Linked DNA regions of Xenopus tropicalis. The protein of the gene in region 2 purifies or fractionates together with the protein of the main gene of each other region. This does not show direct contact. Links are inferred from orthologs where the notes say so. Each region holds a gene or a part of one and is shown on either strand. Other genes may lie near its edges. The genes, in order: exosc10, exosc1 and dis3l.

What was found.
Region 1: the proteins of exosc1 (region 2) and exosc10 purify together in Homo sapiens (co-immunoprecipitation; 8 studies listed by BioGRID and IntAct, counting the BioPlex papers as one, with this or other methods). This does not show direct contact. The link is inferred for Xenopus tropicalis from reciprocal best matches to the Homo sapiens genes EXOSC1 and EXOSC10.
Region 3: the proteins of exosc1 (region 2) and dis3l purify together in Homo sapiens (affinity purification with mass spectrometry; 4 studies listed by BioGRID and IntAct, counting the BioPlex papers as one, with this or other methods). This does not show direct contact. The link is inferred for Xenopus tropicalis from reciprocal best matches to the Homo sapiens genes EXOSC1 and DIS3L.

The regions. Positions count from the first base shown.
Region 1 is NC_030683.2:64,882,441-64,892,840, forward strand, and holds part of exosc10 (exosome component 10), read right to left. Parts: intron 7,149-10,400; coding exon 7,044-7,148; intron 6,595-7,043; coding exon 6,429-6,594; intron 5,631-6,428; coding exon 5,522-5,630; intron 3,924-5,521; coding exon 3,848-3,923; intron 3,759-3,847; coding exon 3,648-3,758; intron 3,549-3,647; coding exon 3,405-3,548; intron 3,322-3,404; coding exon 3,131-3,321; intron 3,045-3,130; coding exon 2,888-3,044; intron 2,814-2,887; coding exon 2,665-2,813; intron 2,556-2,664; coding exon 2,505-2,555; intron 2,295-2,504; coding exon 2,183-2,294; intron 1-2,182. UniProt on the Homo sapiens protein: Catalytic component of the RNA exosome complex which has 3'->5' exoribonuclease activity and participates in a multitude of cellular RNA processing and degradation events.
Region 2 is NC_030683.2:32,982,803-32,993,811, forward strand, and holds exosc1 (exosome complex component CSL4), read left to right. Parts: upstream 1-3,734; 5' UTR 3,735-3,751; coding exon 3,752-3,779; intron 3,780-4,319; coding exon 4,320-4,435; intron 4,436-4,804; coding exon 4,805-4,879; intron 4,880-5,524; coding exon 5,525-5,613; intron 5,614-6,246; coding exon 6,247-6,280; intron 6,281-6,728; coding exon 6,729-6,779; intron 6,780-7,447; coding exon 7,448-7,532; intron 7,533-7,772; coding exon 7,773-7,879; coding exon of another isoform or gene 7,880-7,952; 3' UTR 7,953-8,381; downstream 8,382-11,009. UniProt on the Homo sapiens protein: Non-catalytic component of the RNA exosome complex which has 3'->5' exoribonuclease activity and participates in a multitude of cellular RNA processing and degradation events.
Region 3 is NC_030679.2:117,105,716-117,116,653, forward strand, and holds the start of dis3l (DIS3-like exonuclease 1), read left to right. Parts: upstream 1-5,702; 5' UTR 5,703-5,971; intron 5,972-7,438; 5' UTR 7,439-7,548; coding exon 7,549-7,592; intron 7,593-10,419; coding exon 10,420-10,548; intron 10,549-10,938. UniProt on the Homo sapiens protein: Catalytic component of the RNA exosome complex which has 3'->5' exoribonuclease activity and participates in a multitude of cellular RNA processing and degradation events.

The DNA.
Region 1 (10,400 bases), about 32 Mb from region 2:
TCTTTTTTTGTAAACATGATGTTCCAGTGTCTGACTTACTCTCTCAGAAACATCCTTAATTCCTGTGGCCAGAGCCTGCAAAGTTATTTCCTCTCTCCCCTTCTCCTGCTCCCCCTCCCACCAGAATGCTAAGAACTCCCTCCCCCCTCCCTTAGGAATGTGTGATATCAGCTAACGGCTAGACTGCAGGCAGGAAGCTACTTAAAATGGCAGCTGTTATCTTAAGCAAACAGAGAAATCTTCTAAAGCTGTTTACTCAGGTATGGTAATGGTTTCTGCAGAATAAATATATTGTTCTAGGTGGCACTAATGTGGCAAATCTATTGGCATTAAATTGACAAAATGACTTTCCTTCTCCTTTAAAGAGATTATACATCATTTTTACATAAGTCTCTGTCCCAGTGTATTATTTTTTAAATATATTTTGTCACATTCCCAAAGTGGTCAGGATGGGAGTCTGGGAGGAAACCAGAACACCCCAAAATTTATTCATATTAGTGTTACATAGATTTTATGCCTGACCCTTTATCAGGTTCTCTCACTGAGATACAGTCACTGAGTTTGGTGTGGATGGAACCACATTTTTCCTTGCATACATGTAGAACACTGAATAATAAATAGCCACAATAGGCACAGCACATCTGAGGGGTGGATACAGGGTAGGTGCATCTTTACTATGCTTCTATTTGGAACCTCTGGCTTCTAGATTTTATGTATTAATGGGATTGTGATTCCTATAAAGACTTAACTCCTATTGGCCTTGGCTCCAGTCAGTCTGACATTGCTTCCTGTAACAGTATGTTAGATTTGTGATATGTTGAGTCAGTTTGCCTATGCCACTGCAAGGGAGAAACCGATTACCTTTCAATTTATGCAACTGGAGTGCACAAGCACCCACTGAATTGGTCCAATAGGAAAAAAGTAAGGGCGAAGCCTGGACGTGATGATGTGATGTAAGCATACAGGAAGATCTCCGTGTGTCAGGTTCTAAATAGGCCACTCCCATCCTTCCAGAAAACTGATCATTTATGAAAAATAACATTTTCTTCGCATGCTATTTATAATTTTGCCATAAAAGTAGTAGCCTAATATTTTTCCATTACCTGATCCCCCATGTTCTTCTATGAGGGGGCTGCCATTGCTGAATCTGGCTGTACTGGCATGGCGTACCTTAAATACCTGTAGCCAGGCTTATAACTAACCTCTTCCTGAAGTTCTACATGCTCATTGTGCAAACATCACTCACTGTTATGTGCTTTTTCATGCCCCAATAAATGAATAGCAACAGAGCAATGACTTTTTAATATAAATCTGTTTCAGCCATGTATCTGCTAAAGGAAAACTATACCCCCAAACAATGTAGGTCTCTATAAAATATATTGTTTTAACAAGCTTACACACAGCTTCATCTAAATAAACCATTTTCATAAAAATATACTTTAGCAGTATGTGCTGTTGGGTATTCCTAAATAGAAAATTGCCATTTTAAGAATGAAGGGGCCACCTCCTGGGATCATAGGATTCACACAAACATGCTAGGTCACATTAGCCAATTAATGGACACACATACATGCTAGGTCACATTAGCCAATTAATGGACAGAATCTGCCCTTTTATTCCACACTTCCACCTGTTACAGTTAAAGCTACATTATTTCTGGTCATGTGATCTCAGAGGGAACACACAGCCCATATATATAAACTTCCAAGTAAATGCCGGCACTCACGTATAGATAAGTTGCTGTTGCCTGGGTGCAGGTCCAAATAATGTTGAAGGTGCTTGAGAGAGGGTCAGCACTCACAGGACTTATACAAACAAATTATTTTATTAAAGAGGAGACTAACGTTTCGGCTAGCACTCTAGCCTTTTGAAAAAGGCTAGAGTGCTAGCCGAAACGTTAGTCTCCTCTTTAATAAAATAATTTGTTTGTATAAGTCCTGTGAGTGCTGACCCTCTCTCAAGCACATATATATATATATATATATATATTCCAGTTTGGCGAGATTCTTGAATAGGTTCACATAGTTGTCCATAATATCAAGCTTACAATAGTCTGGTTTCCAATGAGGCATGTTCGATTGGTGTTACCTGGTCTCCCAATAAGACACAAAATCAGTGTAGACACCTTTAAAACAGTAGATGGTTTGAGCATGACGCGCAGTTGCTTAATTTAATAACATACCTTTAGAAGCGGGGTCTCACGCGCCTGATGAATAAGAAGAGATAATTCATTGATTTGTTGTCGCACAAGTGGAGGCACTGGACTGCAGCAAGCAATGATTCCTTGTGGCTCCCTAAAATAGAACATACAAAAATTCTTAAAAAAAAAAAAAAAAAAACATTCATAGGGTGTATATTGTTGGTGTTGGTCAGTATAGCACAAAAAGAAAAAAAAAAAAAGGGCTATTTGGCAATACAATTTTCTGAAGTTTAAAATGTTGTAGCTTTAGAATTAAAACTGTTGAATATTAAAGATACTTTAAGAAAATCAATGATGCACTCACTTGGGCAGTTCCTCAGTTATCTTCAGCAACATGTGATTTGGTAACACATAACTGCAATATTAAAAATAAATGTATTATTGTTAAACACTTAAAAAGACATGTTTTAGTATAATTCAACAGCCTTGACACAGACATCATATAAACACATATATCTCCTTACCCTGTGCTCTCATCTTCCTGTCGAGCTATTTTATCTCTCCATGCAAAAAGGAGCCTGAAGGCAGTCAACTGCTGCGTGTTAAGGTGTTTCTTTTGCTTTTGGTATAGCTCTAGATATGAATCCTCTGTAAAGATTGACTTTGTGAATTTCTGTAGGAAATACACTGTGTCAGGATATTCTCTATATATGCATTTGTAAAGTTACATTTAGGAAAAAGTCTTACCTTCAGACAAATGTCCCTGCTTTTCTGCCATACCAATTGGAGAAGGTTCTGCTGCTTGTTGGCTGCACCTAGTAGAGCTGTTCGCATTTTGTCATATATGAAAAGCAAATAGTGTGTATCTGCTCTAGCATACTCAATCATTTCTTCAGGTAAGGGGCTGAAATTGTATACAAATGTTTCAATTTATGTACAGGTAATACTTTATTGGTTTAAAGTTTGTAAATTATTTATGCTGGAACTCACCGAATTCTCCAATCAGCAAGCTGATATCGCTTGTCTGACTCCACATTGCAATACAACCTGAGGAGGTGATCAAGTGAGTGTCGACCAAGATTAAGAATACGTGCTGCTTGATGAGTGTCAAACATGTTTACTATGTATAAGCCAAAATCCTTCTGAAGCCACTCTATATCTGAATCAGCTCCATGAAGCACCTAAAACAAAATTGCAACAAGGAATAATAAGGCACCATTAATCGGGTCCCTGAGGTGTAAAGGGAAAATAACATTTTACAGACCTTGATAATAGAGGGATTTGTGAAGCTCTCATTTAAAATGTACATGTTGCTCCTTAATTCCAGCACATCAATAATATAATCCTCCGTCCGAGTGCTAATCTGCATCAAGCATGTAAGACCTAGGAAGCTTCTGTAGGAATGATGCTTTCAAGAAAGAAAGATTGGTTATTTATATAAAAAAAAAAAAAGTTCTGCACACAGCTTGCTACATAAACATCCCTAAAAAAAAAACAAATCACTTACTTCTAAATCCACTGCAAACTCTGCACACTGTAGCAGTTTCTCGTTCAGTGCCACTAAGTCTTCCAGCTTCATCACAAACTTACATGGGACATCTTGCAGGGAGAGGACGGGCTGTTGACAAAACAGATCTTTTAGAATTATTAAAATCAAATTCCTCATTACTTACACAAATTAAAAGGCTGCCCTTTTTGTGGTCTCACCTGAATATCTGGCTTCTCCATTGACGATTCCAAGGGTACAAAGTGATCCAATTCATACTGATAGGGATGACAGAACCTTTAAAAAGGAAAGCATGGTAATGTAGTAACTAAAACACAATGGAAGGTACACTCCCTGGCCTTTTCCTTGTCAGCATATACAGCCAGGAAATGGAGACAGTACCACAGTTTTGCAAGTGGGATGCTCCAAACTTTATTAAAAAAAAAGAACACCAAACTTTGAGGACTTATTCAACCCTTTTCTAAATTTGTTTCTTCAGATAAGGCTGAATATGTTGGGAAGTGTTTTATACACGTGAGTATTCTCATGGACATTTAATAAAGCATCCCATTTGCAAATCTCAGATACTGTCTCCACTTTGTTATTGTGCACTGTAACTGAATACAGGCTACACTTAATTGCTTCATAGATAGCAACAAAGAAAACCATTACCAGACTTACCAGTGTCTTCCCTTACAGGGGACTCTAAAATGATTTATTTGGTAAGTATGCTGCATAGCTGTTAGCAAAAAGAGATCAGAGATGACCCCAGTATTTACAAATGCCTGGGTCAAGCAGTTGAAACTCAAGATGGCAATTTTAAACAGGAATAATCTTAGCACAAATGTTCCCACTAATTCTTCTGGACTATGTGAGCACATTTTAAACTTGTGTGGGCATTTTAAAAAATGGTGTGCTCAGGTCGGAATAGATACAAAATTTGGTGTTTTCACACAAAATTTCTTTGTGGGCACCAAAATTTGCTGTGTGCACAGGACTAAATGTGTGTGTGCACAAGCACACAGCTTAGAGGGAACATTGCTCAGTAGTCTTTGTGTACCTGAGTTGGTTGCTGAGTATTATCTGTAAATTTAGCCCTTCTGGAACCACTAGACCTCAGGCCACTTACAGTATCAACAAACATCTACTTGTAAAATTTTTAGCATATAATCTGGCCCCCCATAATGTGCTGTGTTGGCTCTTCCCACTACATGGAAAACTTGGACAGCACGTAGCAAACAGTATTTTCTGTTCACCAGAACAGTTTGCTACATTTTAGGTTGTGTGATATAAAATAACCTACAAAATTACTATTGCGTGCATGTGCAGTAAAGTAAAATTCAAAACTTAAATTTTAAAGTTAGGATTTTTACTCTACTGTGCATGCAAGCTGTCTCGAATATCAAAGAGAATAGCAGCAAAATCTGCAGAGAAGGCGGCGCATTTGCAAAGGATAGTACCTTGGCCGTTGCACTTTTCAGCAAACAGGAGCACTGGCCTGCGGCCAAAGGCAATTGATTATATGCAGTAGGGCTGCCCAACACATCAGAACCCACTTGCCTTGACATTTACGCACAAATACCCCATAATAAATGTCATAATAAAAATAGCTCTATAAGTTATACAGTGAAGCCTCAAATTTACATACACATATTAAGTTTTCCTGCATTTTAAATATTTTTAAATATTTTTAAATATTTTTTGTAGCCAAACTAACATATAAGCCATAATGCATTTCCCTGATATTTTTTCCTGGATTTTACATTATTTTTTTCCTTGTTCCCTGAAAACTGTAAAAAGGGGGATTCTGCTGTAGATAGTTTATTAGGCACTTTTTGCCAACTATTGCTAGAAACATTTTTAGACAGACACAAAAAACCCTGCATTATACTTACATATCCTCTTCGCTTATCTTCATTCTTTGCTGATGAATAAAATCTGCCAAAGCAGGAGGAACATCCAGATCCTCTTGTCTCTGCTGCCTTTCTAGTCTATTCCTGAGAACTGATAAGTTAGATGGAATTTTTTCATTAAGCTTCCAGATGAGAACAATCAGAAATATAATTAAAGTATATCCAAATGTGGGAGACTCTAAATACATTGGTAAAACTTTAAATGAAAAAAGTTACACAACTTAAATAGCGCTTTTAAATAATTGGGTCTTTTAATGCTAACATATTCTGCAGCAATGTACATAAGGATACAAAACTGACAGACAAACGGATAACAGTAGGTAATATGGGCCCTGCCCACAAGGTCATAAAATAAGTGACACACAAGGTATAAAATATGTAGTCAAATTGGGCAGTTTATGTTGGGGAAATATTATCACTGTTAGTAATGAGATAAAAGGATAATATGATGTGTGTGAGTTATTACAGGCTAATAGGTTAGAGTGTAAACTTCACAACAGAGGTACTTATTAAGGAAATATTTGTAACTCTACTGGGTATTGGACTTTTTATGTTTTGTAATGAACTCCACAGGTAGGGAATTGCTTTGATGAAGTCCAATAGGTGTGTATGTATTTATAAGAATGAAGTGGTCAGTTTGGTGTGTATCTGAAGGCTTAAAATGTAAGGATGGGAAGAAGGAGAACTATGAAGGTATGGAAGAGGAGATTAAATCTGTAAGAAATTGCAAATGTAAATGCAGATCAAGTTGTGAAAAGGTTTCAGTTCGACATATATTTGCTAATAAAAGCTAGTTTATTATTATTAGGGCTCATTTATGTAAAAATTAATTTTAGATTCATGAAAGATCAAAATACTCTCAACAGTAGCAATAGGGGCCATAACTCACCTTCTGGAAGAGGCTTTTGTGCATTGGGCTTCACAAAGAGTTTTGAAACAAAAGGAGTGTTGGAATTGTCTATCTTTTCTTTAAACTTAAGTTGGGGGCGCAAAATGTTCTTAGCATGAAGCAGTCGAAAAGTTTCAGATTTTCCTTTTTTGCTTAAATCACTAGTCTGCAAAATAAATAAATATATAACACACATAATACAAGTTGGGTTATTTATTTTCTGGCAACAATCTGCAGCACTGACCAACACAGAGGTCAGTTCCTGTGGAGCATACAGTCGAAGAACTCTGTCACATTCACACACAGTAGGGACAATTTTACCAGAAGTCTAATAAACCTGCCTGCATGTTTCTGGAGTGTGGCAGAAAACTCCTGCAGAAACACCAACATGGCTTGAAGACTACCGCAATGAGGTTTGGGCTCCATGGGATATTTATAAAAAAATCAAACAATGTACCTACTTATCAAATCCAATATGCTTTTATTTAGTACAAGGATGAAGGTCCTTTCAACTTTTTGTCAAACAAGTATTAAAGGTTGCTGTCAGGTCTATATCTCTGTATATTCATCTGTATGGTTAAAACAAAGCACATTTTAAGAATATCAACTTCTTACCTTCCTATTCCAGCTGGAAACAATTGTCTTTGGAGGCTGAAGGCCAGCAGGGAGGATGGGTTGCTGATTCCGATTCAGTCCAGATGCTTCATCAAGTAAAATGCCCTTAAAAATATGTAATATGTTTATTTAGGCCAAAATTATGTTTTAAATATACCTCAGCAATAACAAAAGTTTTGGTGCACCTCACTCTATGAACTATGTTACTTTAAAGGCCACCATACTTACAGTGGTGTGAAAAACTATTTGCCCCCTTCCTGATTTCTTATTCTTTTGCATGTTTGTCACACAAAATGTTTCTGATCATCAAACACATTTAACTATTAGTCAAAGATAACACAAGTAAACACAAAATGCAGTTTTTAAATGAGGGTTTTTATTATTTAGGGAGAAAAAAAATCCAAACCTACATGGCCCTGTGTGAAAAAGTAATTGCCCCCTGAACCTAATAACTGGTTGGGCCACCCTTAGCAGCAATAACTGCAATCAAGCGTTTGCGATAACTTGCAACGAGTCCTTTACAGTGCTCTGGAGGAATTTTGGCCCACTCATCTTTGCAGAATTGTTGTAATTCAGCTTTATTTGAGGGTTTTCTAGCATGAACCGCCTTTTTAAGGTCATGCCACAACATCTCAATAGGATTCAGGTCAGGACTTTGACTAGGCCACTCCAAAGTCTTCATTTTGTTTTTCTTCAGCCATTCAGAGGTGGATTTGCTGGTGTGTTTTGGGTCATTGTCCTGCTGCAGCACCCAAGATCGCTTCAGCTTGAGTTGACGAACAGATGGCCGGACATTCTCCTTCAGGATTTTTTGGTAGACAGTAGAATTCATGGTTCCATCTATCACAGCAAGCCTTCCAGGTCCTGAAGCAGCAAAACAACCCCAGACCATCACACTACCACCACCATATTTTACTGTTGGTATGATGTTCTTTTTCTGAAATGCTGTGTTACTTTTACGCCAGATGTAACGGGACACGCACCTTCCAAAAAGTTCAACTTTTGTCTCGTCGGTCCACAAGGTATTTTCCCAAAAGTCTTGGCAATCATTGAGATGTTTTTTAGCAAAATTGAGACGAGCCATAATGTTCTTTTTGCTTAAAAGTGGTTTGCGCCTTGGAAATCTGCCATGCAGGCCGTTTTTGCCCAGTCTCTTTCTTATGGTGGAGTCGTGAACACTGACCTTAATTGAGGCAAGTGAGGCCTGCAGTTCTTTAGATGTTGTCCTGGGGTCTTTTGTGGCCTCTCGGATGAGTTGTCTCTGCGCTCTTGGGGTAATTTTGGTCGGCCGGCCACTCCTGGGAAGGTTTACCACTGTTCCATGTTTTTGCCATTTGTGGATAATGGCTCTCACTGTGGTTTGCTGGAGTCCCAAAGCTTTAGAAATGGCTTTATAACCTTTACCAGACTGATAGATCTCAATTACTTTTGTTCTCATTTGTTCCTGAATTTCTTTGGATCTTGGCATGATGTCTAGCTTTTGAGGTGCTTTTGGTCTACTTCTCTGTGTCAGGTAGCTCCTATTTAAGTGATTTCTTGATTGAAACAGGTGTGGCAGTAATCAGGCCTGGGGGTGACTACAGAAATTGATATTGAAATTGAAATTGATAAACCACAGTTAAGTTATTTTTTAACAAGGGGGCAATTACTTTTTCACATAGGGCCATGTAGATTTGGAGTTTTTTTTCTCCCTTAATAACGTGAACCTTCATTTAAAAACTGCATTTTGTGTTCAATTATGTTATCTTTGACTAATAGTTAACGGTTTTTGATGAGCAGAAACATTTAAGTGTGACAAACATGCAAAAGAATAAGAAATCAGAAAGGGGGCAAATAGTTTTTCACACCACTGTATATACATCTATACCTATATATCCATCCTTATATTTTAATGCTAATATTTTAAGTGCCCACACTCAAGGTTGGGGGTTACTGCACACATATGCAGTAACCCTATATTGAAGGTTCTCCCTGTAAAATCATACATGTGTGGACGGAAGTGACGCAAAAGTGACAAGTGTTCCCTATTGGGCTGCGCTGGGTGCCACATGTGCAAGCAAACTGTAAGAGCAAAGCGATCAGAAGCTGATAGAGGAATCTGCCTGCAAATGTAATGTCTCCTGCACATCTCTTTAATTAAAAAAACAAAAAAATTGGAACAGGTGAAAGGGGGAAATAAAAATATAAACTTGAAAAAGTATGAAGCAGGATAAAGAAAACAGAAGATAATAGTACAGTGCATGTCATGATGCTCTGGAGGCTGCATCTGTCATGAAATACTGGAATCCGCGCAGCGGGGTAGGCTATGCCTGTTGAGAATTGTTGAGGGTGGTGCTGTGCCTGTCACGAATTCTGGGAAATGACAGAATGTGCAGGTCTTGGTATGTCCTGCCACCCCACCCTTTATCCAAGTAGTTATTTTTATGAGCAATTTTTTGCCTGGAGAACGTGACAAAGTTTGTGAATTGCTGGTTAATGAGTTTCCAATTAACAGTACCAATGTAAATAGTCTGCCAGCTCTGCACTAAATAAGGGGCTTCCATAGCCACCCCCACCCATAGTCCTCTGTTTCAGATTAGCCTATGCTTTCCATGTATTCTATTCACAACGTCATAATGTGATGTGGTAATGGCAGAGTCTGTTAATGCCTTCAAGAGGGGCTTGGATGAGTTCTTGAGTGTTTGAACAAGCACAGTATCCAAGGCTATTGTGATACTAATATGTACAGTTAGTATTAATGGTTGCATACATAGTTTATGTATGTGATAGTATAGATTGGTAAGTATAGGTTGTGTGTGCTGGGTTTACTTGGAAGGGTTGAACTTTGATGGTCTTTTTTCAACCCTATGTAACTATAATTCACAGCTGAGGCTGGCGCCACCATCTGCACCACTACCTAATGGGCACTATGTTTATTGAATTGATATAAATATGTATAAATTAACAGACTTTTTTTGAAAGCTTCATTTTTTTTTCTCAAGCATATAAAGGAAAAGGAAAAAAACTAAGTAAGCTTTATCAGAAAGGTCTACGTAAATACAGCCATAAGCACTCACAGAAACACTGCACTAAGACCTCTATGGAAAAAAAAAACAAACAAAAAAAAAAAACCCACAGGATTTCTTTTTAAAAAAAACCAACATGTTGTTTGGTATCTGACTTCCTCTTTCAGAAAAACCCTTAATTCCAGGGGCAAGAGTCTTCCCAGTTCTCTCCTCTTTCCTGCTCCCCCCTTCCATAAGAATTCATAGAACTCACTCTCCCCACCCTTAGGAATGTGTGATCTGAGCTACCAACAGCTATACTGCAAACATGAAGCTACTTAAAATAGCAGCTGCTATCTTAAACAAACAGAGA
Region 2 (11,009 bases):
CCTTTCTAGATGGCATCAGTGGTCTCTGCCCATTCAGTGCTACCATGTTTACTGTAGCTGTGTTTTCCTGATAGAGGTACCTTTTTCAGGATCATTACAATAAAGGAGTGATGTGCAATGAAACATTGTGTTGTTGTGGTTTATTTTTTATAACAGTAGTTGAGTCTATGAAGTAACCAACTGCTATAATATAGGTAAATATATATCTAATATTGGCTAATAGAGTTCATAGGATCTGCTCAGTACAAACAGTGTTTATTACTGCTCACACTGCTGTGCCTCTTTCTTTTAACTGGTATGTGGGCAAAACAATGGCCCTTAAGCTATGCCTCTGTAGCAGCCAGAAGGACCTGTACTGTACATAAATCTCATAATGCACTACATTAGTTAGCTCTTATGCCATCCAAATATTTCACATAGAATGTCAGTTTGGCGTGGTGGCCAGCGATGCCTTCTTCCCCATGGATGGACTATTCTGTTCTTTAAGGAGGTATTGCAGAGAAGGTAGGTGGGCACTGCCAAAAATACATTAAAGCTGATCCCAGCTGCAGAGAACAGAACCTTGGGCCTGGCACAGATGCTTGTGGGGAATGTGATCGGAGTTGTCCTAGGCAAAGTCGAGCCATATTTTCAATTTGAGATTTTCAAATTCTTTTTTTTTTTTTGTAATTGCACAAATTCTAGAGATTGAAGTTTTTTCATTTCCTTATTAATAAATAAGCATACATTAAAAATGTTAGTTTATTTGAATTAGAAAAACAATTTTGAATTCTCAAACTGATAAATAAGCCTATTAGTGTGAGCTCTTGCATTCATGTGAAGCTCAAATAAGCTCATTTCTATCACAGTCTGGAAGGCACTGACACATAATGAATCATCTGTATACAGTTGTATTACCATTCCGTCCTAGGCCCTGAACTTCTCATTTATTTATTCATGGGAGAGACACTGATGGAAGGAAATGTCAACAATATGTAAAGAAATCAGTTAATTCTAGGTATAGTGAAACATCTTGAATCACTGGATGTGTAATCTTCAGGACAAGGCTTTACATTTTCTTGTCATGCTTTTGGCACTAATAATGCTCACATAATACAACTGGGAATACTGCAGGTACCCCAGCATATGTGCTGTTGTTTCACCCTATGTGATATTTAGTAGCATTAATCTACTCTACTTTTTAAAAACAGCCAAGCTGAAAGTATTGAAATTATCCTCAAATAAAGCCAGCACCTATCCTAAAATGGGAAAGCGATCTTAACACAACGTTTACAACAGCCCATTGGCTTCAAGTGGCTAACGCAGCTTACAAATATTTCAAATTTACTAACCACATAGAGAACCAAAGAAAAATTCTATTCAGAGGGTACAAAACACCCTCAATCAGATATATCCAAACACCTCGTCCACCTGCTGGAGGTGCAACAAAACAACAGGAACACTAATCCACATGTGGTGGGAATGCCCAGCACTTGCCCCCTTCTGTGCAGATGTCTCACTACTATTGTATGAAACAACAAATATACTAATCCCACTAACTGCCTCACTAGCACTACTTAACCATCGACTACAAAATATACCTCCAAACCTAAGGAAACTTACCTACCCCATTATCATTTTGGCCAGGCTATTAATACCACGACAATGGAAAACCATACCAACTAAGGAAAAACTGATCAACCTCACAGACTCTAACCTTACGTACGAAAAACACGCAACAGAGAAATACTTTCCCACCAAGCATGGAAAACCAAATTTCTCAAAAACTAACAGCAGCCACATAAAGCTAGAAAATGCACCCGGCAGTCAACCAACAAACACCTAACTCCACCACCACAGGATAACGTCAGGAAAAGATTCACCCAGGTTTAGTAGCGAATGATCTTGGACTATATACCCCCACTCCACCATGATCTCTCCGATACTTACCTCTCTCCTGTCTCTTATTGTCTCCCTTTCTTTCCTTTTCCTCTTTTTTGTATGAAAATCTCAAGTTGAAAAAAAAATCCTCAAATAACACTCGGGAGAGTTTCTGTTGTAACAATAGATGCCGAAGCATATACAGCATACAAATAAAATAGGGCAGGCGTGTTTTGTAGCTAAAAATAAAAAAATAGGTTCTTGTCAAAAACAGACCTCATTTCCTAACACTGCCGAAGCCAAAAAAGGTGACTTCTTCAACCTCTAGGTGCAAACTATGGTAATTCTTGCACAATTTGCACTTGTGACATTCTGGAAAGGAAGTAAAGGTATGTGTGTGTGCTATAGTTTTTGTTCATAAAATACATTAAATGAACAGTGCAAAGGAGAGTGTAAAGTACAGGGGCTTCCTTGCACCTCTATGGCTTACTCACAATAATAAAGGCCAATACCGTGCCTGCCCTTCCTGCTGGAGACTGCCACTGTTTATTAAACAATAGTATCCTTATACCCTTTTCTGTCAAGCATTTTCCTTAGTTCCAGAAGAGTTGGTATATGTTAATAAACTTTTTTAATTCTTAGCAAAAAGTTGATCCAGGGATTGTTGGAGTAATTACTTCACTCCCTTTAAGGCTTATGGGAGATGCCTTCTGATATCTGTATTGCTCCAGATTAACTAGATATTAGTGGTGTTTCTCTTAGAGAAAACGTTGAACTTGAAGGGTGTGTCCTTTTTCAACCACATCTACTATGTAAAGGTCTCAATTACAATTTCTAGGCACTAACAAAAGATGCTGTTAAATGCTATATGCAATGTGTACTTGTGCCTGCCTATGCCCATGCTGTATGCTTATTTTCCAGTGGCACCTGCTTTAGTGCATAAGGGGCAGTACAGCACTGTATCTGCGCTGGCCACACAGTAACTGCACAACCCCCTTGCCACTAGTTTATTAGACCCTATGAATGGTACACAATTAAAAAGCATTTTACTGTATGCCCAGGTGACAACTGTGTTGGAAACTAGTGAATTGTGTCAATTTTAAATAAGTATATTAGGGCTAGGAATTATTCATCTTGGCAGTGTTGTTAGTTACTGGCCTAGTTACTGACAGAAGATAAAAGTTCAATTATAAAGCAAGGTGTATATACACACATGTATATATATATATATATCTCAAATATTCAAATATTTTCTTCTTACAGTAGGTGTACGAGGCAAGAGCTTATTGCTGTCTGTGTGCCTCCTGTCCCTGAGAATAATTACACCATTTTGTAAGTTCTGATTATCCCCTATAGGTTACGAGGTCAAAAAGGGAGAAACGTACATCCCAAGAATAGCGTCTTATTCCGTAACCCCCTCGTCCGGTATTCTTTCTGCGTTATTAAGGAAAATATATATACCTATCGATTTTCGATGGAAGCACCACTGTACAGAAGCCTCACGCTGAGAGAGCCTGCCTCGCTATGGTTTCCATGCAACGTCATAGTGAAGAGAACGTTTTCTAATAACTATTACAGTCACAGGAAAAGCAGTGTAAATGACATTCTGTTGCTATAGGAACACATATCTGGCCAGGTTGTGATATGTAAAACCATATTTTTTTAGAAATGAAAATCGATTTCTAGAACACAGACTAATACTAACATAACACTGTTTTTTTAAGATAAAGTAAAGGCTGCCAGAACTCCAGCCTCAAATTGTACAATTGCTACGTGGTACGTCATCACGCTGCGACGGCTGAAGAGCCAATGGCAGGATATGTTACGTCACTAACCGGGATGTACCCAATCGGAGCCTTCATTGCCCAGTATTGGTTATCACGTGTTTATCATGGCTCCTGTAAGGTGCTGTGTGCCGGGTGAGTGAAGCAGGGCACAGTGTTTAGTTAGTGTCGGTGCCTGGTAAGGAAGGACTGGGTTGGGTAGGAGTGCTGTGGGTTAGTGACTGAGATGTAATAACAGTAGGGATGCCGTAAAAAGAAATTGTGGAAACATTTCTCCTGCTCGTGTTGTAGTAAATGTATGTATATCTTTATTTATAAAGCGCTACTTATGTACGCAGCGCTGTACAGTAGAATAGATTAATACAAACAGGGGGTTAATAAGATAATAGATGAATACAAAGTATAACAATAAATACAAATAAATACAAGATACAGTTACAGTTGCAATAAGTTAAGAGTCAAAGACACAAGAGGATGGAGGTCCCTGCCCCGTAGAGCTTACAATCTATATATATATATAATTTCAGCTCTCCTGTCAGGCTTCATTCTGGGAATTCTGAGTTCAAGTTCTAATCTCTGAAGTAATATATTATTTTTACTTTTAAAAGTTGGTTGTTTTTTATATACCCTGTGCAGAGTTGTATTATTGTGTTATCTTTCTTTTAACCTCTGCAGGTGAAAGGCTGTGCAGCACTGAAGACTGTGCCCCTGGATATGGAACTTTCTGCAGACATGGCTATATTTTTGCCTCCCTGGCAGGTTACATAGTGAAGAAAACTGACAATGGCTTGGTAAGTAGTTTTCTGTAGTAGGTTGTTATTATACATAGCTGAGATACGATACACGAGTGGTAACATTTATGTTTTCGGGAGGATTTTAGGGCAGTCATTTGTTTCCCAACTATACAAAGCAGTCACTGGGAGTTTGCAGCCAGCTCAGTCTTACATTGTTGAATATGTGCCAGCAGGCAGTTGGGTCTTGCCACCTAGACAATACTATTGATCCCACCCATACATGCAGCCCTGAAGTAATGTTGAAGCTCATCTTTAAACTATTTCTGAAAGTACAATAATTTGCTGCTCCTGTGCAGACTGTCCCCAGTATAATATAGTTTTTATTTAAAATTTTTATTTCCTTACCTGCACTTTTTTGGTTTCTAGATGCCAGTTATTTCTGTGGTAAGAGAGACTGATTCACATCTTCTGCCAGATGTTGGCTCTGTTGTCACTTGTAAGGTAAGAATGTATTTTGCACACCAAAGTAGAATTCTGTAGTGGTGTTGTGTTATAACAGGTGGTAAAATGTATCTTTTTTTTTTTTTTTTGGGGGGGGGGGGGGGGGGGCTGGGTTTAGGGCAGTCATTTGTTTCTCAGCTATACAAAGCAGTTAGTAGGAGTAGAAGCCAACATTGATCCCACCCATGTATATAGTTTTTATGATCAGGCAAAAATCCTCTTTTTGGTGACCTTTCAGCATAAAAGCTGGCTTAGGTACAAGAGGACTGGTAAGGAGCTGTGTAAAGGGCTCAATGACATTAACATGTCCCAGCCAAATGATGGGTTATTGTGAGATACGAGGTACTTACAAGCTTAAAAGGAGCACTTTGGAAGGAGATGATAATGATTGTGGGAAAACTAAGAGAGTGCCATCTGTACATCAGCTTTTATAGATTGTAATATTCACTTTAAATGAACCAATACTTTGAGGCAATCTGTAACTGGTATTTATTTTTTTAAGCTCCACTATGTTTTATAACACAGTATTTGTCAATTTGAAATGTGAACTTTTTTTCATTTACTTTTTAATTTTTCATTCTTATAATAAACTTCATTTATTATTATGGAGTTTCTAATTTAGTCTTTATTTCCATTCATAATTAGGTAACAAGCATTAACTCCAGGTTTGCAAAGGTCCAAATTATGTATATTGGTTCAACTCCACTGAGTAACACATTTCGAGGCACAATCAGGTAAAGGATTTACTCTGAGGCTAGACCCTTCTTATTTAAAGTAAACCTTCTGCAGTATAGAGGGAGCCCATGTACTGGCATTTCTGGGTGTTGAAGATGTGTTCTGACATTTGCTCAAAAAAAATCGCATAACCCCTTTTGCAATTTAATTTTTATGCCATAAAGCAAGATTGGGCTTGTGTATTGCAGAAGATTAGTAAAAGTCACGAGAACCAGGAGATGGATTCCTTTATACATGCAGCTGAAAATGCGGGCTGGGGATTTGAGGACACTGACCCCAGCAGCAAAACAAAATATTTACTGCAGGGCTTGACAGTTATGGATAGTGGTTATATTTCTTTTCAGGGCCCGCTGTTCTTCATCTTTCATGTAAAGATTGCGCATTGGTTTTTAGGATAATTAACCCCTGGCAGTGAGAATTTAAATTCCAACCCTCAGAGCAGCAGAACAAAAAATTTAAGAATAAATTAAAAATCCAAAAAAAGCTATTGAATCTGTTTGCCTGTGTATGAATTGCTTAAAAGTACATTTTAAGGTGTTACACAGTGTTTTTAGAAATTATATGATTAAGAGCCAGAGCTGGGCATCTAACATTATTGCCTTATGTATAAATAGTTGCTTTTTGGCTTCTAGGAAAGAAGACATTCGTGCTACAGAAAAAGACAAGGTAACTGGACCCGCTTGTTTGTTTTTGTGAGTAAAAAAAAAAAATGTTAGGCACCCTCTCCGAGATTGTAATCACTTACTGCATACCCCAGATTGTGCTCCTGTTAGCAAAAAACTACACTGGCCCAGAGAACAGTTTGCTGGTTCTTCCTTCTTCACGGTGGATATGCATGCACAGCAGTGTGAAAAATGCCAGCTTTTCCTCTCTACTGCGCACGCCCCAACTTGGGGCCACTGAAGAATGAAGATGATTGGGATGCGGTGCTCTCACAGAAAGTACCCCAGACTGATCACTGGGGGTGCCTAAATATTAAGCACCCCTCTTTCCTTCTCCCTTAATCCCAAATGCTCTTATTCCAAATAGGTGTAATATTTCAGCGATTTAAAGAAAATATCACAAATCAAAGGTGCATGGCCTTCTATATTTTTAATATATTCTGTCTTTAAAGGTTGAAGTCTATAAAAGCTTCCGTCCAGGAGATATCGTAATGGCCAAAGTGGTATCCTTTTAGCTGTTCAAATCAATTAAACATATATTGCCTGTAATTAGTATTTACCAGGTATTCACATATTATCTTCTTCGCAAACATAATAAATATACTATTTGATTTATTCTTAACTTTTACATCTGTTCATGCCATTATTATCATTATGATTTGTCTTTTGAAATTCTGCTGCACTATATTCCCAAAACTACCCAAACACCTGCCTCTCTTCAAAAAAAATCACTAGTTTCGAGAACATTATTGGTGGGATTTGCTTCCATTGAGCCACAAGAGCATTAGCAAGGTTGGGCACTGATGTTGGGGATTGGATCTGGCTTGCAGTCCAGTTTGTCCCACAGTTGTTCTGTCTGGTTGAGGTCAGGACTCGGTGCAGCCCATTCAAGTTCTTCCTCTCCTATCTCGGCAAACCCATTCTGCAGGGACCTAACTTTGTGCATAGGGCTGTTATTGTTCCATAATCCCACCCAACAATGTTCCAGCTTCTATTGAAAAGCCTTTCAGAAAGAGTAGCCGAGTTATAGCAGGTGCCCGGATACTTTTGGCCATATAGTGTATATTGTTCAGAGGTGTAGTTTACCAATTGGTGTTGCCTGCAGTATATTTTGAGTATTGAATTGATTTCTTTTTTTAAAAAAGTTTTATCTCCTGATCTTTTGCATAAGATATCTTTGGGTGACATCCAGTCTAATTATCTATTAAGCACAGCAGAGAATGAGCTGGGTGTTGTAGTTGCTCATAGTGAAGCAGGTAAGTATGTTGTGTTGATGTTGTTGATGATCACTGAAAGGGTGACCATCAGTTTCCTCTTACTGTGCCCTTCAGCACTTTCTTTTTTTGGGCCTTGAATGGCAGTATGTTCCAGGGATCTCCAAACTTTGGCACACTCTCACTATATCTGTTCCTCCATAATGACTACTCAGATGTGTGTGGATATGTTATGAACACACTATTTGCATACTAATCAGCATCTGCTTGTTTTTGTCCCAGGAGCTACTATGGTGCCAATCAGCTGGTGTGAGATGCAGTGTCCAAAGACGCACATTAAAGAACAGAGGAAAGTTGCACGGGTGCAGCCAGAGTTTCTGCAGACATAGAGAACAACATGTGGCACAGGCATTTAAGCTCCTTGTAGTTGTATCTAACCACTCGGTAGCCAGGCAGTTCTGAATTATCTTAATTTGTATTATGGCAAACAATGATTTTATATTTGTTTGTGCTTGCAACCTTGAGTGCCTTGTTGCCTCCATAATTTTGGTGGTTAAAATTAAGACAAGCCAACAAAAATGTAACTCGGTTCCCTTCATTTAGGCTAATGCCTCTCCACTGACAATAAAGTAAATCGCCGATGGAAAGGCATACATGTAGCTTCAGTTTTCTGAAGTCATTGCTACTGTCATTTTACGGAGATTAGTTGCCTGCGGTAGTTGATATTTAACTGTGGGCGACTAATCCCCTCATGGGCATCAGTCTTTTTAACAGTATTTCTTTGCTCCAAAAGTTTAATTGATCAGATATGTGTTTTTTTTTCTCTTAAAATAGTTTTATTTGTATTTTGTACATTTTCCTCTATGAGAATAAAATGTATTTTTTTTGTCATTTATTCACAGAACCACTATTTTGGTCAGTGAGATTGTAACGGTATATCTTGTGAAGCTCTTGTAGTAAGAGTAAAAGAGACAGAATGCATGTGAACAATGTATTAGGGAATGTATTTTGCTGGCTCCAAAAATACCAGGGATCCCCACACTTTTTTTTTTCACTTATGAGCCGCATTCAGATGCCCAGCTTCCCAGAGTTGTGGCAAGACTCCTCCAGTTCTAGGTTTGGACAGAGGATAAACAGGATGCCTGAGTTTGTGCAGTTGCAAGAAGTAACGATTAGAGTTTCGCCAAAAATCTCTCTTGTACGTTTGCCAACACTCCCTGGTCAGTTTCCTTGTCAGACTAGATTGTAATGCTGCAGTACATCTTAGACTTACTTTCCAAAGGGACAGCAGTGCATGTGCTGCAAGGAGAAGAAGGTGAAGGGTTTTTCTTTTTCTAATAAGAAAGTTATTGGGCGAGATGAGACCTATATTAGACCTTGCAGCTGTACATACAAAGCTTCAAAACAGAAACAATCCAAATTGTTAAAGCAGCCATATGACCCAGGGACTGCCTGTGTACCATTTACCTGAAGGATGTGTATTTGAATGTACCGTTAGCCCAAGGACATCAACAATTCCTCAGGTTTGCTATAGGTCACCAGCATCTGCAATTTACATGCCTACCTTTCGGGTTATCCACGTCCCCCAGGACATTCATGAAGGTGGTTAGTAGTTGTTATTGCAATGCTCAGAGAAATGGGTGTAGAAAAATATCAGTATCTAGATGACCTTTTGCTACTTGCCAGAAGCAGGGAAGTTCTGGAGGAACACAAAAACCAAGTGGCGGCTACTCTGCAATGGATAGATTCTCAACTAGGGTCTGTGGCATCCAGATTCATCAGGATTGAGGCTGAGAGGGGAAGGTTAGCACAGCTAGGTTGTTCTGAGGCTGTTATAACTACTCTGTTGAGATCTAGAAAGTCATCTCAGAGATAGTATGCGGTGTTCAACATATTTAGAGACTGGGCTTCCAAAAATGAGATAGATGCCTGGAACCGACAATCCTAGGTATGCCTGAATTTCTGCAGGAAGGCTTGGATAAAGGCCTTAGTTTGAGCACATAGCTAGTACAGTTGTTGATGTTGTCAGCCATGCTAGAGAAGAGGTTAATTTAAGAGCCTTTAAAGGAGAAGGAAAGGCAAAGTCACTTGGGGGTGCCAAAATGTTAGGCACCCCCAAGTGACTTTAATCGCATACTTTTTACCCCGGGCTGGTGCCCCTGTTCAGAGAAAACAGCACCAGCCCAGGGTAGCTGCAGCGCTTCCTGCTTTGCGCGCATGCGCAGTAGAGTGAATAGTGGAACTTTAACAGAGAAGTCGGCTTTTAACTCTACTGTGCATGCGCCTATTGTGTTAGTCTTAGCGAAACAAAGGCGGAAGGAGGAAGCGCATTGCTCCAGGTACCCCGGGCTGGTGCTGTTTTCTCCTAACGGGCACCAGCCCGGGGTACGAGGTAAGCGATTAAAGTCACTTGGGGGTGCTTAACATTTTAGCACCCCCAAGTGACTTAGCCTTTAAGGTTGTCATCACAGTGGAGCAAGGAAAGGAGAACCAACTAAAAGAGCGACTTTAAGAAGAAGGGTTGTCTTGGGAATCCAGAAAGCTTACAAAGAGCAGGGGGAGCCGGTGCCTCAGAAAATCAGGGCCCATTCGACAAGGGGTATTACATCATCCTGGGCAGCGGAAGCTCAGCCTGAGCGCAGCTACATGGGAAACCTCTAATACTTTCATTTGTCATTACGTTAGATTTAAGTTAGCTCTCTTTCTTTATCAGTTTGGGTATTCAGTGCTGAAGGCAGTGTCTTGGCAGAAATACATTTATTTTGATGTTAGCAAACAAGTTTTTGTTTGTTCCCACCCAGTTAGATTGCTTGGGTACGAACCCAAATGTTGCCAGGGGATGGCCAGGAAAAGAAGAAATTAATTTATACTTACCAAAATTTTGTCTCATACTTACCAAGATTTCCTGGCCATCCCTCCTGGCAACATGCCCAGCATTTATGGTCTGCCCAGAACATCAGATAAAGTCTGGAGAGAACAGGAAGGGGTGGGTATTGCATTGCTATGGTAACCTGTGTCCAGACAGCACAAGCTGGGCAAGTCAAAATGTTACGGAGCCAGGGGGGATGGCCAGGAAATTAAAATCTTAGTAGGTATGAATTAGTCTTTTTAAAAAAAAATGGATACTTAATGCTGTAAGATGCTATAAGACACTATTTATTGGGCTGGTGGGGGGCTGTTTGGCCTCTGTGTATACGAAATTCCAGGGCCTATTGTGTATCCCAGTTCGGGCCTGTGTCTGGTTAATCTAACAGAAGAGAACAACCACAAGGAAAACAGTGGTTTTTTTTCTCTTTCTTCAGCCAAAAGCTGCGAGCAGAAAACAATAAAGGTCTCCAAAGAAATTATTGGGGGCCTCTACTTCAGTGGTTGCTATTTTGCTATCACTCACAAAAGAAACTAAACATTGGTTTTACTTTGCCCCGGCACAAGCGTTCTAACGAGCAGACTCTATGGCCAATTTTCGGAACCGAGGTTTGCTAATAGCGGGGACGGATCTTTCTCTCCTGAAGTATAGCG
Region 3 (10,938 bases), on a different chromosome or scaffold from region 2:
CATCAGATTAATGTGCTTTGACCATTCTCGTGTGTGATTTATTGTACTAATAACCAGCTTGATCATTGATATATAACCAGCTGATAATAACCAGCTTGATCATTGACTATTTTACCCCATGGGCAGGCCTGGATTGGGATTCAAAATAGGCCCTGGCATTTTAAGTACACAGAGGCCCAAACAGCCCCCACCAACCCACTAAATAGTGACTGTCTATGGCAATTTACAGCAGCTTGTGTAGAGCAATCCCGAATGCAAAAAAAACCCACAATAGGACCTATTGTATCCACGTTTATTGTTGGTCTCTGTACCCTTGGGAACAGACCCCCATGAATAACTGAATAAACTCCTGTAGTGTCATGCTTTGGAATTTGCTGAAGCTCATCCCACAGCTATATGGTTGTAAAGTATATGCCATAAAGAATGTACCTTGCAGAGCTGTGCTGAAATGCATGCAGCTGGATATCAGGAGCACTTCATTAGTCTCTCTTGGAAGGGAATACTGGAAGCAATACACCTGTGAGAGTGCAGAAAGTTCAGCACATACTGGCAAAATGTGTTGTTGTTATTGATTTAAGATGCAATGTTGAAAGGTATGCATTTTAGGAAATGTAGTTAATAAAAATCTCTATAATGCTTGCTGCTTAAATTGGAGGGCCCTTTGCACACTATTGTGCTGTTATATTGAGAATATACATAAACACATCTGTTATCCCCTTCTGCTGTTCATTTCTGTGGTCTGTTACTAACTGATCATTTTTATTTTCAGAATTCAGCAATGGCCAAGCATTCCACATATTCCTTTAAAAGAGTAAAAAATTATTAATACAGGGTTAGACAAAACAACCAAACCAAACTCAGCTGTAAAAGGAGTATATACACTTATTGCATGGTTATGGCCAATGGTAAAAAATTCTCATATATAGATTTAGCAAAATGGCGCCCATATATGTAGAAAGATTAACTAAGTAAATAAAATGGCTCAGGTTCTCCAACCCCAAAACCCTCCGCTCCAGGGAATGGACAAACTGTTAAACATCAAACAATGAAAACCAGGGGAAGGGCACTCTGGTAATCCAAATAAAGGCCATTCCAATAGTTAAAAGGAAAAAAACTTTATTATATACTTATCTCAAAAAAGCCTCAAGGCCAATGGTACACAGGGCTTTAAAACAGGCAGAAAACAACAGAGGTTAAGATGTCCCAAGCACAAGAGTCCTGCACCGGGCTGGGTACCCGCAGAATACCCGAATACCCTCCAGAATTCCTGGATTCTGCGAAGTGCTCTATCCAAGAGGGGCAGGCAGGTAGAGGCAAGTAGGCATATCCATACCCGCCTCCTAACTTGCATTATTATTCAAAAGCCAGGGCCAGATTTGTGGGCAGGAAACAAAGGCCTGGGCCTAGGGCAGCAAAGATCTGGGGGTGGCACGCCCACTGGCCGCATCTGCACTGTGGACTGGACAGGAGATTTTGATGGCTGTTTAAATCTCCTACCCATTAAATCCCCAGCGCGGAGGTGGTGCGAGCGACAGGTGGGGTATGAGTGTCACGGAAATGTTCTTACCTCCTTATGGCAGTTGATAAGGACAGGACTCCTGAACCTCCTGATGCTGAGCTCTGCTCCTCAGAGAGCAGCTTACCCTTGGACACAAGTGCTTGCTATGTAAGTAGTAAGGGGCATGCTCGGCACCTCTTAGTACTCTAGCATTTGCTCCCAGCATTTTCATGCCTACGAACAGCCACCTTAACTAACCTACCTGTTCCTCTATTGCGGCACTCTGTCCAGGCCCATACTTGTGGCTGCTGTAAGGTGCCATAGACAGTCACTATTGTGCTGGTGGGGGGCTGTTTGGGCCTCTGTGTACTCGAAGTGCCAGGGCTTATTTTTATTTCTAGTCGAGGCTTGCCTCTGTCTACAATTTTCTGCATGTGTAGCACATGCTTAGCTGTTTTTTAATATATCATTGGTACCATTGGTACCGAAGGAGGAGCATCCATCACTGAAAGAAATGATTATTCATTTTTAGTTTGGGACTAAGTGCATTGGTAACATCACTGAAAGGATCACAGCCATTGGCTGCACCACAAAGTATTGTGGCCCAGTCAACAAGTGGTGCCAACGATCAACACTTGCCACAGGCCAACAAAGGCTTGGTGTTTCCTCATTGGAAAGTGGAAGTTGTTTCCCAATGAAAGTGACTGTTGTGTAAAGGACTTTAGTATTCCCATTATTTTGTATACGCTGTAAATTAGGGCTGTCCAACTGGAGGCCCGTGGGCCGTATATGCCCTTTCAAAAGACTTTTATGGCCCCCAGTCTGCTCAAGGACTAATCTGGCCCTTGAATATAGGATGTAATTGGCCTATGACATGTAAAAAGTTGGACAGCACTGCTCTAAAGAACTGATACAGAGTAGAGGCCTGGCTCACAACCATTTACAGTCTACCAATAAACTCCCATGTATGTGTATATGCTGTAACATTTGTAGTTTTTACTACCAACCACTCCCAGCCAACCCAAAAGAGCACCAGCATGGATTCCTTGTGATAATGTCTTCTCTTTGGTATGTCCATTAATCACTTGCTGCTTCTTGGTCGGTGGAAATTAAAGAAACAGTACAGATTTTGGCCACATTTGATTCATATTCTGATATACAATACTGAACAATTACTGCCTTAGGACACAGTCTATGGGTTACTATGGGGTAAACAACAAAAAACTTGCTGTTGGGTACTCTGCTTTCATAAAGAAAACAATTGTATTCGTTCACAAGCAAGTTTAGCCCTAAGACATTAAACCTGGATTCATTGGCTCGGTAAGCATTGTAGGCAGTAAACACAATCAGAATTCTTCTCTTCTAGCTAATGGAATAAAAAAATCCATACTCATCTATTACTGTATATAGTATAACATGTTCAGTGGCAGCACTTGCTCACTGGGAAGGCTATGATTACATTTTGCTGTGGTGCATTCTACAGGATCAGCACCTTTCTGTGGAAAACATAGTCACTCTTGTACAATTACAAATTGGTGCCCCCACCCCCCCAAGGACACGCTTATGGAGGACTGTACACAATGCTCTATTAGTTAAAACATCTTATTCCTTTGCCTTTTGTAATTGCCGGCTTTAATCCTACTCTTAGCATATTGTTACTAGTGATGAGCAGGCTGACCCAAAGCCCACGGGACCTACAAGTTTAACTGCAGGTCGGTGGGTTCGGGCCGACATCCACACAGCTTTCGCGGGTCACGGTCAGGTTCAGGCTGAACTATACCATGCGCCCATACTATGTCCCAATTTCGCCTTGCCACTTCACTATTTATAGATCTTCACCTGCATGTCCCATCCCTTTTCTGACATCAGAGAGGGGCGCATGAGGGGCTATAAATACTGTGACTTACTGGGTTAGGGCTGGGTGCAATAAATAAGGCATGGGGCTGGCCTGCCTGGAGGGGTACTTGGAACAATTAGAGTGAGAATTGGGGACATTGGCCATTTGCTCGCCTAGATACACCCAAATGACCAGCATGAAGCTCAGTTAGGGTGAGATTTGGGTATTTGCTATCCTAGATATTTTTGGAACTCTGGTATTTGGAATATCTGGTGATGTACCAATATTTTCCTATACCTGTAAACTTGTTTTTAGCCTAGATGGTCCTTAGATAAAGATTTTATATTCAAGGGGGTCACTGGCCAAAGGTTTGGTTCTTCAAGTGGGGCTTGAACTGGAAATAAAGTTTACCAGCCACTGAAGAAAGGCCTTTTATTTATAAAAACAAGCCCAAAACAAGGATTTTTTTTTTAACTTTTCTGAAGAAAAAATGCAATTTTATAATATACAGATCCCAACACAGTGTATACCTTATCTCATAGCCAAATATATTCCCCCTAACCCTCATTTGCACTTGTCATCTGCAGGTATTCATTCCTTAAAAGCCCATCACATATTTTTTCAATTCAGCATTGGTTACTGTTCCAGTAAATACTGGCCCAGATTAATACAATAGATCAGTTACATAAGTGTAGCTGTGTGGTCAAACTCATAACAAAGTGTTTTCTCATGAAAACTCCATTGTAGATCAGGGGTGAACCTGAATCTGAGTTATTGCATCAAACTAAACATGGTTCAATAAAGTAAATCAAACAGAAAATTGGCAGAACTGTAACAATCTCTGGCCTTGCAGAATTACAGATATCTTAACCCCCCACTAACTTTCTTTTGTATTCTGTGCATTATATTCTCCTTTTGACACTCACGCACCTAGCAGACATTTTGCATTGATTATAATCAGGTACAAAATCTGCAATATTTTGTACCTGTATCTGCAAACAGGCTTTATAACCCCACTATATTAAGGCAGAAAACAAGAGTGGTGAAGATGACCCATCCACCTGTCCCCAGTATTTCACTTCAGTGATTCTGAATCTTCCAGCACATTTCATTTTTAACTACAGGAAGAGGTGACGTGTTTTCCATCTGAGCCAGCAGCAATCTTAACACCTCATGTAGGTTCGGACTGGGGTGTGAGACATCCACCAGGGCAGCTACCCCAGGAGCCCCCACAATTCCTCAGGGTCCCCTGAGCACCCTCTCACTATCACCCTGCTCATCTATCGCCAGCCCCTTCCCCTGGCGAAGGCACCGGTGAGCAGCAGGTGGGGATTGGGTCTGGGTCGGCGGGGCCCACAGTGTCCCGCCGGCCCAGTCTGACCCTGATCCCATGTGCTATAACAAAACAAAAAATAAGGTACAAGTGTGCCGGAATTGGTGATTCTGGTGAAAAGAGAGCATCTTCAGTTGCAAAGAAGAATACTAATAAACTGTAAAGACAAATTAAAAAAATAAAAGAAATAGAATCGATTCATTTACAATATTTGAAATGTTAATTTAAAGATAACATCCCCTTATGTCTCTGAACAATAAGGTCCACTTCACACACCCTACAAGGAGCTTCCCTCAGGCTGTACCAAAATCTGGTTCCAGTACATACAGTCTGTGCATCAGAGGAGCAATTTAAATACACATAAATGATGGCAAGGTAAATACTGCCCCCTAGTGGCACCTTTTATTTTGATTAACAGGCACAGTTGATAAAGGAAGGCACAAGGGCTCATTACACCTGCAACTGCATTGGGCAAAGTGCAATCACCACTGTTTTCCCATTCTGCAGCATATTTCAGCGTTATTACGCACGCCATGGGACACTGCACCTAATGCAATTGTAGTGGAAGAGTCAAAATGAATGCAGTTGTGCTGGCACTATGTGGCAAATGAGATGTGCGCCTTTCTCCAGGGTAGGGTGGGGGCGGCCTGTTCTTTAGGAGCAAGTTCCATGTGCCCATTGCAGGGTGCCTGGGGAACCACATGGCCTAAAGGTGGTGATAGTTTTAGGGCTGCTCTGTGCCAATTCATAATAGGAGACAGGAAGGACAGTTGAGCCAAGCATACTATACTGAGTGCAAGGGGGCATTTTCATGCAAGTACCTTCAATAAATGGGGTTTTACAAACAATTCACTGTGGGCCCAAAACTGCGCTTGTGGTCGTCAATGACCCTCTAAAATATATTATGGTCATTTGTGGGATAACTCAGCAACAGGTCAAATCCCCCACAGTAAACACAGCCATACGAAATACACGAGCATGCGCAGAGCTTCTTAGTTAGAAGGCGTGGCTCGGGAGCGCAGCTAGAGGGCGTGGCTCGGGAAGCGCGGCTAGAGGGCGTGGCTAGGGATTGTTTGGGGGCGTATTTTCCCGCCTCCCGGCACCAAGCCATCAGCAGGCTGCATTAGCTGTCTCACCGCTGTTTTCCTTTGCGGATGGGTTGGTGTGTAGGCCGCAGTCATGCTGAAGACGGAGAAGATTTTGCACCTGAAAACGAGGGGCCGGTCTGTGAGAGCCGTGCGGGAGCATTACCTGCGGGAGGATGTGCGCTGCGGGAGTGCGCTGTGCCAGACGTGCCCCAGGGGTGAGATAGTCTATACACGCAAAGCTTGCTGGGACTTTCAGCTCTGCCCTTACTGCTCTCACTACTGCTGCTGTGTCTCTGGCAAAGCCTAGTTTAACCCACTTATTACATTATCCCAAACTTTATAAAACAGGAACATGTGCTTGGGATGTATTATTGTTATGGTAAAGAGAGTGGTGACATGTTCTGTGGCAAGGAATGGACTCTTGAATTAATGTGAGCCACCTACCTTGGAAAGGATATATAGTCAGCCAGGATAAGGGGCTTTTGCACCCATAGTAAAGGCGGCAGTCTGCACCCCCAACCCCTACAAATAGAGACAGGGATCTGCTCTGCTGGTGAGCTGATCAAATAGTGTCCTACTGTACAGCAAAGTTACAATTGCAAAACAAAAGAACATTTGCAAAATAAAAGGGAAAGTAAACCCTCAGAATTGGATCCTTTGCTGATCTTTTTCAGAGTTTCTACACTGGATCACCAAATCAAGAGAAAATATAGCTTAGTGCCACAGGCTACAAAAAGGAAATTACAACCAACAGAACCTAGCACAATATCGTTAGCCCTCAATACAAACACCAGGATGTTGTAACACAATTCAGTGTGTGTGGCCAGAACTATAGGAAGTCTATGCACAGATTTTTCTGTTTCTCCAAAAATAAAATGAAATAAAACAAGGTGCCGTAGTGCTTTATTCAGATATAAAACTCTGCATGCGGATTTCCCGCTCTATGGTTGGATTAGCAATTTACAAGTTTCCTGGTATCAAAACAGCATGTTGGTACCAAATTTTTAAATTAGGACAGCACCAATAGTGTAAGTTGCATACATCTCACTTCCGTGCGCACTGTCTGTAGCGTATAATGCAGATTGTGGAGGGCAACCTTTGCAGTACAAGGAGAAGGATTCTGGCCACGTCTTCCTCTCTTGTGCTTTCCACCTGCGCATCCATTCACCGCTGTTACCGGAAGTGACATCACACCTGATGCATTTTGCTAAGGACTCCTTTTTTAGAGGCAGATTTGATTATGTTTCCTGTGTTGCCATGGTTACTATTCAAATAGCAGGTTCACTGAATGTTCTTATAGCCCATCCCCTATAAAGTTCATTTGGGCACCAGGTTAGGCTACAGCCACATAGAGCTGATTTGCGGCCTGTAGATAAACGCAAGCAAAGGATCAGCCCCCTACAGCCTTTCCATGTGCCTGCATCTGTGCATAGACTTTCTATGGAGTGATAACTATATTGCACTAGGTTCTGTTATTTTCTTGTATTTTTCCCTTAGTCTGTTGTGCTGATCTATATTTTTTCTTGATTTAGTGTGCTGTTGTGCCTACTGCCAGGCCCGACTGTCAGTCTTTAGATTCTGGCAAATGCTGAAGGAGCAGCTGTAAGATGACAGAAGAGACAGGTCCTTGCCACAAACTATACGTGTATTTACATCACTGACATCACTGGTCCTTTTAACAGATGGAAAGCTTTTGTCTGAAGATCTGACTCACTATGTGGTCCCCGACTGTCAGATACTTCAAGATTACCTGGAAGTGTTGGAATTCCCAGAGTTGCGGGGCATTATCATCATGCAGACTGCATGCCAATCTGTCCAACATCAACGAGGACGAAGGTAAAATATTAATGTTTTAAAGAAGGTTTACAGGAAAATCAGTATGCTCTACACTAATTCCTAGCATTTGACTAGTACGTGTGAGCTGAAATTGATGAGAAGCCATCTTTAGAGTTTATACTTGTGCACTGACCATACTTTTTCATAAAATGCTTCACTGCTAGTTTACTCCCTTTCTGCAGAAAGCGTATAACATTTTCTGATAAAATGTATTTATTGTCAGTATAAATTAGATCAGAATCCAATAGACTACAAGAGACAGTGCCAGGCTGCACATGCTGAGAAATGGTGGCAGTACCCTGCCAGGCTTCACAACCCAAGAACTGATGGATGGGGGTATCCTGCCAATATACAGAGACTGAGGGATGATGGAGGGGCCGTTCTAATCTGCACTGCCAAGGGATGGTGGTGATGCACTGCAAGCCTCTATAGAGATTGTGGTGGTGCCCTGCCAGGCTGCACTGACTAACAGTTGGTTACCATGCTATGTCTTCATGCACAGGCCGAGAACACTGAGGGGGTAGCTGAAGTACTCTCCAGGCTGCAATGGCTGCGAAGAAGCAGCAGTGTCTTATAAAGTTGCAGTGACCAATGAGTTGGTGATAGAGCCCTGTCAGTCTGCACAGGTCAAGAGGTGGCAGTTGTGCAATGTCATGTTGCAGAGGCTTGTTAGTTAAGTTGCTCTGAAAAAGTATTAATTGAATCTGTGATGGATTCGAAAAAAGAGTAAATGTGTAAAAAAGTAAAAAAAAAAGGGTAATAATAAAAATAAGTAAGCAGAAATGTGATCTTTCCAAGCTGGGCCATTGTGCTCATCCTTCATTTGGTTGGCGCTGGAGCTCAGGGCAGTGATAGAACTGCAGATGAAGCAGGACAGTCCAGCTGCTTAACTGATAGCCTCTTCAAATCAATTAGAAGAAATCAATACTGAAATCAATTGGGAGCCTGAAATAAAGTAGATCTCTCAAATTTAATGTCAGCCCAGGAAAGCAGCCACCTCTGATTTTAATAATAAATGGTCTAGGGGGGTTAAAGTTTCAGTACTTCAGTAAAGATAGTCATGGACTGTAGGCACAGACATGTTCCTTGTAAATGCTGGAAAGTGCAACTAATCATCATTGCCTGGCAGATATCTCTGGCATCTCTAGACATGTGGCACATCTAGACCTGGACACTAGGAAACTCATGTGGATTGTCCCTGTCTAAGAACTGGCTTTCTATCATTACTAAAAACCTCACATGTAAAGCCATCTGTAGCCAGCGATTGTCTTTGCCAATTAATGTGGTCTGGCTAGTTGGCCACAAGGCATGCAATATCTAGCTGGCATTAGAAACATCGTCATGTGCTGCTCAGGCTCTATAAACCTAAAAGGGACATGTTACAGATAAGCTGTGATTGCTGTATATTGTACCATTGCGTGTGAAACATTGCTTATGTGCAATGGCACAATAAATAACGGCATGTTTGTAGAAGGCTGGGCCCCCTTATTTATAGAAACTGGTTGCATTTTGATGTGGCCTTACATCTGGGGGTTGCAGCACTGGACTAAGATAATTGGCACAAAAATGCTGGGAATGCTCCTGCCAAACTGTTTTCATTATGTGCTGCAAGGGAGCTAAGCAGAAGCGACTGAATAGGCTATACACATGGACAGTTTTGGGCCACAAACACAATACACACTTCTGGCTGTAAAATTTGCTGCATCTGCAAATTCTAATGTCAGGACAACTAGTGTCTCTGTGGCAATTGTGTCTTTCAGAAAAATGACCCTGCTGTTTTCCTAATAATTTTTATTCTTAAAGGGGAACTCCACCCAAACACAACTTAAGCTTTTTGAAAAGAAAAAATAATTTTAAGCAACTTAAGCAATATACATCAATGAATGCAGCCTTTTCATAACTTTTAAAATAATAATATGGATTGGAAAAGTTACCTAAGCCTCGCCCTGCTGTTCCCCTGATGATCTGGCTAACTACTTGGGGACTCAAATAAAATTGCAACAATAGTCAACTGTCCTCAGCCTGCATCCTCAAAACCCCACACATCCTGCAATGCATTGTGGGTTATACAATTCCTGCATGCTGCCTGTAAGGCAGGGGGCTCAAACTCAATTTACCTGGGGGCCGCAGGAGGCAAAGTCAGGATGAGGCTGGGCCGCATAAGGGATTTCACAAAAAATTGGCTTTCAAGGGATAATGCAAGGCACGGCGGGAGCTGCCGATTGTGGAAATGACGTTATGCCATCATAACAGTTATTATGGGAAGACGTTCTGTGTGCACAATTAGCTCCTTAGCAGCTAATTGTGCACACAGAATGTCTTCCCATAATAACTGTTATGATGGAATAACGTCATTTCCGCAATCAGCAGCTCCCACCCACCGTGCCTTGCATTATCCCTTGAATCGCAATCCATTCATTGCTTTTGAGAAGGCGTTGGTGCGGGCCACAAAATACTGTACCGAGGGCCGCAAATGGCCCGCGGGCCGCGAGTTTGAGACCCCTGCTGTAAGGTGTGGAGAAGTTGTTATACTTCAGACTGGATTTTATCTAAAGGCATGATAAATGTCCACTTTATCTATCCAACAAATGTGATTTGTGTAATGATTTTGTTAGGATGTGACTATCATGTAATGAGCATCCTGCTTAAGAAATAATGTTCTAGGAAACATTAACCATTAAGTGATTATTAAGCTGCAGAATGAATGGCCATGTAAGTAGTGGTTGGTTATTTTCCTTCCAGTTTTGTTTGTTTTTTCTTTCTAAGATCTTAATTTTATCTGGCCTATTGTTTTTGGCTAAGCTAGGTTTATTGTGCTGTGTTTCAGGCAATACAAGAGGTTGTGTTCTCTGCTCAGAGATACTCGTCATGACTGCATTTTGTTTTCCAATGAGTTCCAGAACCATGCCTATCTTCCTAGAGAAATGGGGGAATCTGCTTTGGCCTGGCAAACAAGGTACTTCAGTTTGTCTGTAACGCTGCCACCTTATAGAATCAAAGCCTGACCTAACTGCACCATTCTTAATGGGATGGTTGATGTTTGAATGTCCTTGCAATTGGTCTTCATGATTTATTCTTTGTAGTTTTTTAATTATTTGCCTTCCTCTTCCCCTCCAGCCCAAATGGGGGTCACTAACTCTAGCAGCCAAAAACGATTGCTCTGTGAGGCTACAATTGTATTGTTATTATAACCTTTTATAACTTATTATTCTATTTCAGATTATCTTCTATGCTTATTTCAATCTCTTATTCAAACCACTGTCTAGTTGCTAGGGAAAATAAGACCCTAGTAACCAGATAGCCACTGAAGTACTTAACTGGAGAGCTGCTGATCAAAAGACTAAAT